Linked DNA regions of Arabidopsis thaliana. The protein of the gene in region 1 interacts with the protein of each later gene in a biochemical or structural test. Each region holds a gene or a part of one and is shown in the gene's direction. Other genes may lie near its edges.

Region 1 (7,232 bases):
GTTATATAAAGGGTAATGTTTTGTTCTATCCATTCCTTCTGCGATATTTTGAAGTGGTTCTCAAGTTTCTGAGATGATGTTATGCAGTGTTGGCAAGTTTATGAGTGAGTATACAGTTGGGAAATTGCCAAAAGCATTTAAGCTTGTTACTTCAATGGAACACTGGGAGGATGTTTTATACTTGACTGAGCCAGAGAAATGGTCACCTAACGCATTGTATCAAGCCACAAGGATCTTTGCTTCCAACTTGAAAGACAGACAAGTTCAACGGTTTTATAACTATGTTTTGCTTCCGCGAGTGAGAGAGGATATTAGAAAGCACAAGAAGCTGCACTTTGCTCTGTACCAGGCTCTGAAAAAGTCACTGTATAAGCCTAGTGCTTTCAATCAAGGGATACTATTCCCGCTTTGTAAGGTATATATTCCTCCTCCTGAACTTACTACAGTAACTATTTCAGAATGTGACTAGTTTTCTTACTAGTTCCTTGGGTTTTTCTTTATTCAGTCGGGGACATGCAATCTCAGAGAAGCTGTAATTATAGGGAGCATTCTTGAAAAGTGTTCGATCCCTATGCTTCACTCATGGTATGCGATACAAAGATTGCATAAATAGAACATCTTCTACAATTTTCAGATTATTCGTTTCAAATTATTAATTTCTTTACATGAACTGCAGTGTTGCCTTGAACAGACTGGCTGAGATGGATTATTGTGGCACAACAAGGTAACGTGTACTATTCTCTTGACTTTTATAATAGAGAGAGTTAGATAGTAGATTGCCTTCTCCCATTCAATTAAATAGTTGTGAGAATGTGCTGATAATCTCTTACGACGCAGTTACTTTATAAAAGTTCTTTTGGAGAAGAAATATTGTATGCCGTATCGGGTGCTTGATGCATTGGTTGCTCACTTCATGAGATTTGTTGACGATATAAGAGTTATGCCTGTGATTTGGCACCAGTCTCTTCTTACCTTTGTGCAACGGTAATATTCGCCTTAGTCCTTACAAAGATGTCTGACAAATCAAACAAAACTTTTTAAGTTATTTTGTAAGCTCATGCTTTAGCCAATGTGCAGGTACAAGTATGAAATACTAAAGGAAGACAAAGAACATCTCCAAACTCTCCTCCAGAGGCAAAAACACCATCTTGTAAGGCTTCTTCTACCTCTAAATTTTTTGAAAGTTTTTTGTTTTGTAGATCACCACTTATTGGGGTTATCATTGTTTGATTGTAGGTTACTCCTGAGATTCTGAGAGAGCTTAAGGATAGCAGAAACCGTGGAGAGAAAGAAGATCCTATGGTGGATAATTATATCCTTTTTTTCTTCTAATTTCTATTTGAAATTACCTTAAGAGCGTGATTATATAAATCTGAGTATGTTATGCCATGTTATGTTATTTCCTTGACAACAAGTCACTTGCCCCAGTACCGGCTAAAGAAGACAGGTTTGACATTCCTGAAGTACCAATGGAAGAAGACTGATGATTCATGGTGTTTGGTATTGAAAGAGGACTGATGATTCATAGCAGCAGAGATAAACCCTGAAACTGGGTGGGTATGATTCTGGTTTTCCAGTTTTGACATCGTTGTATTATTATTTCTTATTTGAGTAAGATTTGAAATTTTTATTACTACATGATAGTGTATCTTTAAACATGGTTTAATCTTTTTGATATAATCCAAATTTGGTCTTGTCTATATACATATTGTCTCTCACCAGCGGCGCTAGTATCCGGTAAATAGGTTTTTGAAATTTTATAAATCTGACCACTTTATTCGATCTTTTGTCAAATCAAACCCTTTCACTATATCACGACCGTCTAACAGCTCAACAAAGATCCTACGGCTGTTATTATTTCACTATCTCTAATTTTCAAAAACAAATATTTATTTTCCATTGTCAACAAAAATATTCCTCCACAATAAATGTTCTCTACTTCTCTCTCACCCATTCCTCTACTACTTCTTCTTCTTCTTCTTCCTCCATCGATCATTCTTTTTTGGAATCATCTCAGTTATTACACCTCAGTTACTGTACGGACGAATGTGGTTGCTTCTAAAGCTCAGATTCTACTTGATCTAGTACATCGTCTTCTACTCTAGATTTTTCCTATAAGCTCGCTTCAGAAATTGAGGTTTGTGCTCAAATTTCTTTTACAATGTTTCTTCAAAATCTATCTCATGTTTCTCTTAGTGTAGTTCTAGGTCTTGTTGATCTATGTATCAGCCAAATCTTTGTTAGGTTCTTTGGTTTAGGGTTTCATTCTTTGTAGTTAAATCTGTTTAAAAGATTTCATTTTGAGATTAGTTAAAGAACTTTGAGATTGTTGCCTTTTTAAGTAGCTAAAGGTCCTCTTTATACTAAAAGTTTTACATCATTACTAATCCTTTCCTTAAAAGTTGTATTAGTAACCCCATTAGAAAAAAGCTGATTAGTACCAAAAAAAAAAAGGCACAAGTGAGTTTCAGTTTTTGTTTTGCCTTATCTTCATTGTACAGTTGAAAAAAAGAATTCTTCCTTCTTGTCTCTTTGTGTATGATTAATAATATTCTAAAATGGTGAAGCATGATTTTGTCTTCTTCCATTGTTCATTGTTGCATAGTGGTTGTTTTGTTGCATATTAGCTGATAATGAAGAACAAACCTAAGTTTAAAATTTTGATTTTGCTGTTAGCTTTTTTACTTTATGAGTTAAAAATTATTTTAATTGACTTTGACTGTAAAATCTTTAATGTGTAATTAATTTTCTATGCAGGGACAAGATGGTTGGTGTATTTAATATCATCTGATTAAGAAGGAGAAACTTGTTTTTTTGGCGATAAAGATAGAAAAGAACTTGGCTTTTGTTCTTCTCTCTGGTTCAACAAAAGAATTCAAAAGAGAAGAAAGGATGATGCTGATGAGAAGAAGGTTGGCTTGCTGTAGCAGGGAGAGGGAGATTAGTATCGATTTCGATGAACATGAACAAGATAGTAAGTTACTGATTTAACCAATCTCTATTCTTGCATTCTTACACTTACGATGCTTACTTAAAGTATGAATCTATAGCTACAATGGTGACCTTTTTAGCTTTTAGGTATTGCATTTATGGGCATGATATGGAATATTTAGACTATAACTGTTGGGTGTATAGTTTTCAAACAAAAGTGAGTGGTCTTGTGACCGGTTTAGGTTTTGGTATGGGACCAATATTCAGACCCTTTAAAGATCTACACCAACCAGGTCATTCATGTAATAAATAAGGCGTGAAGTCTGTAGCTTTCCACGAGACATCAATGCCTTAATTTAATATGATGCGAGAGCATTTTATGTGATGATCAAATAACCTATCTAAACCAAACCCTGTTTCTTAGGAGGTGGGGTTTCAGGATTTGAGGGTCCTCTAAGTTTTTCATTTGTTTAAAATCATATTTATTCAGAAACTGCCAAGAGTAGGTAGTTTTATTGGTTTCACATGGTTATTAAGACTAAACAAAACTCTCATATTTCAAGGGTAGATATCATTATTAAATCAAATCACTGGTGCTTGATTAAATAATGATGTTTTTATAGTATGCTTTTGAACGTTTGAAAAAATGCCATGTCGTGACAAGTTATAAAAAGTCTTTGTAGTGGGTCCGTTTGGAAATTTTCACCACATGGGGATACTAACTCAATTGTTTTTGAGACTTTTTTATACATTTCCTTTTGAGAATGGAAGCATTTTAATTGTTTAGCAGTCTTGGGTTAGCAAAAGTCTTGACTTTAGCTATTAAAGACTAGAGGGAACACAACGACTTTTATTCCTTTTTTATCATTTGTTTTTTCTTGTATAGAAAACACAACACTAGTCTGCATAAATAACGTGTCTAGTGATACCATTTGCTTGATTCTCATTTTTGATGAATGAGACAAGAAGTAGATAGATGTACTAGGTGGGGTTTTCTTTATAGTCAAAATCTGAACGGTCTCTTAATGATACGCAGTGTTTAATTAGTTTTCTATTGTTGACCTCTTCTTTTACCTTTGTCAATCTCTTTGTAGTGTGCAAGTTTCGGTGTCTTACCACTTTGTAGTCTACAGTATATAAGGTGAAAGTATATGTGTTAAAGTTCTTACTGGGTGGTGTACCCCTTTCTTTTCAGAAATGATTACATATTATGGCTTGGAAACTTGTATTATCAATAATCAATCATATGAAGAAGAGAGTGGAACAAGTCGAGGAGATGGATGTCTTACAGATTCGTTAGATGATGATGCATTTTCAAGCTGTTCATCAAGCAAAGATGCCTCTAGCTCTTTTTCTTCGAAATGGTTACCGATGAAGAATGATGAACACAGTTGCGATGGTTTGAACTTATCTGGAAGGTCTCAACATTTTGATGCTAAGGAGAAGAAGAAACAAGGCTATGGCAGTAGCCAACATTTTGATGCTAAGGAGAAACCAGGGTATGTGTACTGTCATTTGGATGTGGAAGCTATGAAGGAGAAATTTTCTAAGTTATTGCTCGGCGAAGATGTCACTGGGGGATGTAAGGGTGTCCAAGTAGCTTTGGCTTTGTCAAATGCTGTAACACATCTTGCTAGTATGTTTTACAATTTCCTAGCATTCTTAAGCTTTATGTTCTTTGATATGGTTAGAGGTTTCGTGTGAACTGTTAAGAGTAACTGACTTTAATGAATTTGCAGCGTCGATTTTTGGCGAGCTCTGGAAATTGGAACCTTTGTGTGAAGAGAAGAAACAGAAATGGAGAAGGGAAATGGATTGGCTACTTTCTCCAACTAACTACATGATTGAGTTAGTCCCTTCTAAGCAAAATGATGCCAATGGAAGATCACTTGAGGTACGTAGCTAAGGTGTTAAAATAAATAGATATACTCCAGAGGAAGAAACTGAGCTGAATCCTTGTTTTAACAGATAATGACTCCGAAAGCCCGCGCAGACATTCATATGAATCTCCCAGCTCTTCAGAAGTTGGACTCAATGCTAATTGTGAGCGGATTATCTCTTTTGTTAATCTTGTCTTTTCTTATTCTTCTATTTCCTGATCTGATTAAAGTTGCATTACAACTCCACAGGAGACACTGGATTCTATGGTGAACACAGAGTTTTGGTATTCTGAGATTGGTAGTAGAGCTGAAGGGAAGAACAAGAGTACAAGTGAGAGCAAACGATGGTGGCTTCCATCGCCACAAGTGCCTAAACCTGGACTCTCTAACTCAGGAAGGAAGAAATTGCTTGACAAAGGAAAAGTTGTTTATCAAGTCTTCAAAGCTACAAAAGCCATAAACGAAAACATTCTTCTTGAAATGCCAGTTCCCATTGTTATCAAGGAAGCAATACCTAAAGTAAGCTTGCACTCTTTATTATCCCTTGTGATAGTCATAATTATACAACTACCTCTAAAATCTTGTTTTGTAACAGTCTGGAAAGAACAGCCTCGGTGATGAACTGTACAAGATGTTGGCTGTGGAATCTGCAACAGTAGATGAAATCTTTATATCGCTCAATCTGGGAACCGAACATGCAGCACTCGAGACAGTTAACAAGTTAGAATCTGCTATGTTTGCTTGGAAAGAAAGGATTACAGAACAAGGCAGCAATGGTAAATCCCCTGTAAGAGCATCGTGGTCATTCGCTAAAGATCCGTTGTCTGAAATTGGTCGCAATGAGTCACTCTTGAACCGAGCAGAAGCGCTTAGAACTCAGATCAAATCCAAACACCCTAATCTCCCTCACTCGTTTCTTGATGCTACAAAGATCCAATATGACAAGGTATAAATAAACAAAACTAACTACATCTTTCTTAGTCCAATGGTCTGAAACATCTTTCTTCTCTGTGTTCAGGACATAGGTCATGCGGTTCTCGAAGCATATTCCCGAACACTTGCGAATCTAGCTTTCCGGATTCTTTCAAGAATGGGAGAAATCTTGAAAGAAGATTCTTTAAGCAACCCTAACTCTCCTGCACCACCGAGTTGCTTCCCTAGCTCCCGTGACCCTTATAGGACACCTGAGAGACCTCTGCTTTCGTCCCGTGTAAGGCATTCTTTAACCGATGACATGAACAAAGCCGATGGGACAGAGACTGGTTTAGATTTTTTGTTTGCAGATGCTAAGGCAAGTAATTCAGTGAATACAACTCCAAGTAGAAGCAGTAGACTGTGGTGTTTGAGTAAAGTGCCTTCTGATACTTCTCCTTGATTTAGAGGGTCTTCCTAGTTCGATGCGTGCCACCTGAAGCTTCTCCTTTACTTTGAAGGTTTTAAATTATGAAGCCTGAGATGTTGTAAATGTATTAACATATTGCAGTTAAAGTACGAATTCATACAATTTTGTTCATAACTTCACGGTGAAAAGCAAATTTTTAATCCGGGAAAAAAAATTGATACGATTGATTATGATTAAATTTATTAGTCTCTTCCAGAAAATACTTTACAAAATAAGGTATATTCAAAACAAAAATGTCCAAAACCATAATCTATTTATAATATACTAGACTAGAATCATTTTAATTACTACTTTCTTGAAATCTAATTTGAATCTCAATTAGGTTACTATCCCGACTTCCATCTTTGAATGAAGCATTAGCTGTCATCTCGACAAATGATCAACTAACAGGTATTTTCACCAAGCCACTATCTTTTGCACACTTCCATTAAGTCACTAGCAAGATTGGAGTATAAGAAGTCTTCATTTAGAAGGGATCTATCTTGGTTGGATATGTACATATTATGGGCTTAAGGATAATTTGAAATTAGCACAAAGCCTTAATGAGTTTCCGTTTGTACATACTACCTAATAAGTATAACAAAATGGCAAGCTTCACTTCGTCTATCATCCCGACACTAATGAGGTTTTTTGGGTTGGATTTAAGTTCAACTGTGCCATCCGATACTAACACAAAATATTGTTAAAGGCCAATTATGCTTACTAACTCAAAGAAAATCGAACAGACCATAATTGTTTTCAATATAGCAAGTATAGAGATCAAATGGATCTTGATTACCAAAAAACTGTTCTTGTAAAAAATTTCATATACATATAACTCAATAAGGACCTATAACTTTTCAAAAGATTATTTTACCATATTTAAAAAATCTTTAACTAAACTTTTGAACATGACCTATATATATAGTTCAAACATCCTAACTAGACATATAAATAAAAATGAAAATTATTGGAGGGTCTTAATAAGATACTCCCCCATTATAATCATAACTAAAAAAAAATTTAAGATAGAAAGAAGA
Region 2 (3,823 bases), on another chromosome or scaffold:
AAGAGTTTGAAAATGTTGTTTATATTCAGTTTGAAGTTTGAATATTGAAATTGCTTGCTTAGATTTCATCCAAATATGGATAAATGTTTTGTTTTTGGGAATTTGGTTGATTCATGTGGGCATTAAAGGCTTGTGGTGGGTCCAAGCGTGAGCAGATAGTGTAAGAGACCCACGTGTGTACTTAATTCTGATGAATAATGTGTTATGTACACTGGCACAAATATCTTGCCAAGTAGTGAGTGAGTGTTTGTTGTTTTTTGAATGTGGGTTTTGTTGCAGTATGCAGAGAGCATAAAGATGGATCATGAGAAGAAAGTGGAGCAAGTGAGGAGGCTTGAGATGAAGAGAGCTGAGTATGTCAAGACTGAGAAGGCTAAGAAAGACGTCGAGAAGTTAGAATCTCAGCTCTCAGTATCTTCACAAGCCATCCAAAGCGCCTCTAACGAGATCATCAAGCTCAGAGAGACCGAGCTTTACCCTCAGCTTGTCGAGCTTGTTAAAGGGTTTGTTTTGTGCATTCCCATTGCTTCATTAACCTAAAGTATCTTATGTTGGTCAATGTGAACAAGGTTCTTGTATGAATGTAATGTAGGCTAATGTGTATGTGGAGGAGTATGTACGAGAGCCACCAGGTTCAAACCCATATTGTGCAGCAGCTTAAGTACCTTAACACCATCCCCTCCACTGAACCAACATCTGAGCTTCACCGACAATCAACTCTTCAGCTTGAGCTCGAGGTCCAACAATGGCATCACTCTTTCTGCAACTTGGTCAAGGCCCAACGTGACTACATACAATCTCTCACGGGCTGGCTCAGGTTAAGTCTGTTCCAGTTCAGCAAGAATCCACTTGTTAGGAGTAGCTACGAGTCAAAGATCTACAGCTTCTGCGAGGAATGGCATTTAGCTATTGACAGGATCCCTGATAAAGTAGCATCTGAAGGGATCAAAAGCTTTCTGACAGCAGTCCATGGAATTGTGGCTCAACAAGCCGACGAGCATAAGCAAAAGAAGAGAACAGAATCCATGTTAAAAGATTTCGAGAAGAAATCGGCTTCGCTGAGAGCGCTTGAGAGCAAGTATAGTCCATACTCGGTACCTGAGAGTAGGAAAAAGAACCCGGTGATAGAGAAGAGAGTAAAGGTTGAGATGCTAAAAGGAAAAGCAGAAGAAGAGAAAAGTAAGCATGAGAAGTCAGTGAGTGTGACTAGAGCCATGACTCTAAATAACTTGCAGATGGGTTTCCCTCATGTCTTTCAGGCAATGGTTGGGTTTTCAAGTGTGTGTATGCAAGCCTTTGAGTCTGTGTACAACCAAGCTAAGAGCATCGGTGAGGATCAAGAGGAGGTTAAGAGGTTGCTTCCTTAAAGAGAGAAAGACAAATTGTTTTACCATTTGCTCTCTGTTTTTGCTTGATCCAAGCTAATCTTTTGGTTGAATGTTAGGTTGAGTTTATGCTGTTTTCGAAATGAAATTGGTTAAATGACTTTTCATTGAATCACTGCTTGAAACTTCATCAATTCAACTACTTCTTAGCCAAGTCAAATCATTGGAAGGTGACCTACCAAGGTATTATTAACATTGGAGAAGTGTTAGTTAGTTAGTTAGTGAGGTAGTTAAGGGGATTGCTTAAAGAAGTAAGCAAGTTTAATGATAATCAAACACTCGTGATGTGTACGTAACAGAAGAAAAGAGAGATGATTCGTTTGAGCGGCAGAAAAAGACAAGTGCCTAATTTGATTTCCCATAAATAAACACACAATCGATTGGTAATTTTGATTAGTTGGGAGCTATTAAAAGAGGAAATCCACAATAATCGGAAATAGAAAGACAAGTTTGGTTAGCGGAACGTTTCAACGCCATTTTTCCCGGCCAAAGCTAACTCTAACTAACTCTTTGTTTTTTTTCGGTTTTTGTGCCATCTTCCAGTTTTCATTTTTTTTGTTTCCCCTCTATCTTTTTGGGTAATAGGGTTTCTAATCTCTGGGACAAACTCCAATCGTTTCGAATCCGCAATGCCCAGATGGTCGATCAATAGAAATATCAAGAGTCTCCAATTCCAAAGGCTAAATCTTTGAGATCTTTTTTTTTATAAATTTCCCTGAAATTAATAAACTTTGAGGGGAAATGAGCGCTTCGAGGTTCGTAAAGTGCGTGACGGTTGGTGATGGAGCTGTCGGAAAAACTTGTTTGTTGATTTCTTACACAAGCAACACTTTCCCTACGGTTATGTCCCAATTATTCTTTCATGTTTCTTGTTTCATTACCACAACAACAACATATCTCATGTTTCTTGTTTCTTTTGTGGATATACAGGATTATGTGCCTACCGTTTTCGATAATTTCAGTGCCAATGTTGTGGTTAATGGAAGCACTGTGAATCTTGGATTGTGGGACACTGCAGGTTTTTCATTTTCCTATATATCTTGGTGTTTGAAATTTGGAATATGGTTTTTGGATCTGAAGATTTTGAAAATTTGGGTATGAATAAACAGGGCAAGAGGATTACAATAGATTAAGACCACTGAGTTACCGTGGAGCAGATGTTTTCATTTTGGCCTTCTCTCTTATCAGTAAAGCCAGTTATGAAAACGTCTCCAAAAAGGTTTTAAAAATCCATCAATCTTGTTTCATATTATTGAGTTTTCGTCACATTTTTTGAACTCTTGTCACAAATTGTGTTTGCAGTGGATCCCGGAGTTGAAACATTACGCGCCTGGTGTCCCCATCGTCCTTGTTGGAACAAAGCTTGGTGAGTTTTCCATTGTTTTTTCCTGATCTCGCTCCTTTTACTTTATTAGTTGTGACTGAGTTTGTGTTTTTGCTCTCCAGATCTTCGAGATGATAAACAGTTCTTTATCGACCATCCTGGTGCTGTTCCGATTACTACTGCTCAGGGAGAGGAGCTGAGGAAGCAAATAGGAGCACCTACTTACATCGAATGCAGTTCCAAAACTCAAGAGGTACGTAGATTAGTATATATACCCTTGTTGCAGATTTCTAATGTTAATGTTAATGCTAATGTTGATGATGTGAGAGTGCAGAATGTGAAGGCGGTGTTTGACGCAGCCATCCGAGTGGTGTTGCAACCGCCAAAGCAGAAGAAGAAGAAGAGCAAAGCGCAGAAGGCATGCTCCATTCTATGATGATTGGAAATCTCTGTTTTTATGTATTTGGTTTTGGTATATTAATCTTCTAACAATGAATGAATCAATGTGTTAATGGACAGACACCCAAGTTTGACTGGTCCTTTTTGTTCTTAATATTAATGGAGTTTGTCGGAATCAACGTTTCTTTTGCTTCTACGATTCAGTCCTATGCATAATTCCACACAAACACCACATGTTTTGAATCAGTTTTCATTCCCACCATTTCTTCAGCTGACCATATTTTGTATGTTACTGTTTTAAACTTTGCAAACATGTTTATTGGTAGAGAGTGTAACTAGGAAATGAAAAGTAATGATACAAGTTTTATTTCTCAAGATTACTCTTCATGCTTCTGCAACAAGACGAGAAGCCATTGATTATTGATGATTTGCCTAACAGAATGCAAGAAATAAATTCATTCAAACCATTCCATTTTGATTTTCTCGTATTTCTCATTCATGCCACCATCTTCTTGCTGTCTCTGAAACTCGATGTAACGTAGAGTACTATTTATGAATGGCTCTGCGCCTGACTCAACCTTCTTTGTCTCGCTTTTGATTAATTCAGCTAAGCTCTTGATTGTATCGCCTGTTACTTGTTGGTTTCCTTTCTCCAGGAAGTAGAGATACCTGCATTTGACTCGTAAAACCATTAAGAGAAAGCAGTGACAACTGG

Evidence for each region.
Region 2: the proteins of ROPGEF14 (region 1) and ROP1 form a complex in vitro, tested with the Arabidopsis thaliana proteins (one study listed by BioGRID).

The regions. Positions count from the first base shown.
Region 1 is NC_003070.9:11,325,428-11,332,659, reverse strand, and holds ROPGEF14 (RHO guanyl-nucleotide exchange factor 14), read left to right. Parts: upstream 1-1,868; 5' UTR 1,869-2,137; intron 2,138-2,757; 5' UTR 2,758-2,892; coding exon 2,893-2,974; intron 2,975-3,841; exon of another isoform or gene 3,842-4,126; coding exon 4,127-4,567; intron 4,568-4,670; coding exon 4,671-4,825; intron 4,826-4,899; coding exon 4,900-4,974; intron 4,975-5,060; coding exon 5,061-5,330; intron 5,331-5,406; coding exon 5,407-5,757; intron 5,758-5,829; coding exon 5,830-6,186; 3' UTR 6,187-6,403; downstream 6,404-7,232. Other genes in the region: AT1G31660 (bystin-like protein), read left to right, coding at 1-12, 88-415, 506-585, 677-724, 838-984, 1,078-1,150, 1,237-1,312, 1,420-1,484.
Region 2 is NC_003074.8:19,041,071-19,044,893, forward strand, and holds ROP1 (RHO-related protein from plants 1), read left to right. Parts: upstream 1-1,787; 5' UTR 1,788-2,126; coding exon 2,127-2,225; intron 2,226-2,315; coding exon 2,316-2,403; intron 2,404-2,494; coding exon 2,495-2,604; intron 2,605-2,687; coding exon 2,688-2,751; intron 2,752-2,831; coding exon 2,832-2,962; intron 2,963-3,043; coding exon 3,044-3,145; 3' UTR 3,146-3,323; downstream 3,324-3,823. Other genes in the region: AT3G51290 (pyridoxal-phosphate-dependent serine hydroxymethyltransferase, putative (DUF632)), read left to right, coding at 280-503, 593-1,346, 2,316-2,403, 2,495-2,604, 2,688-2,751, 2,832-2,962, 3,044-3,145; VPS35C (VPS35 homolog C), read right to left, coding at 3,564-3,777. UniProt on the Arabidopsis thaliana protein: May be involved in cell polarity control during the actin-dependent tip growth of pollen tubes. May regulate callose synthase 1 (CALS1) activity through the interaction with UGT1.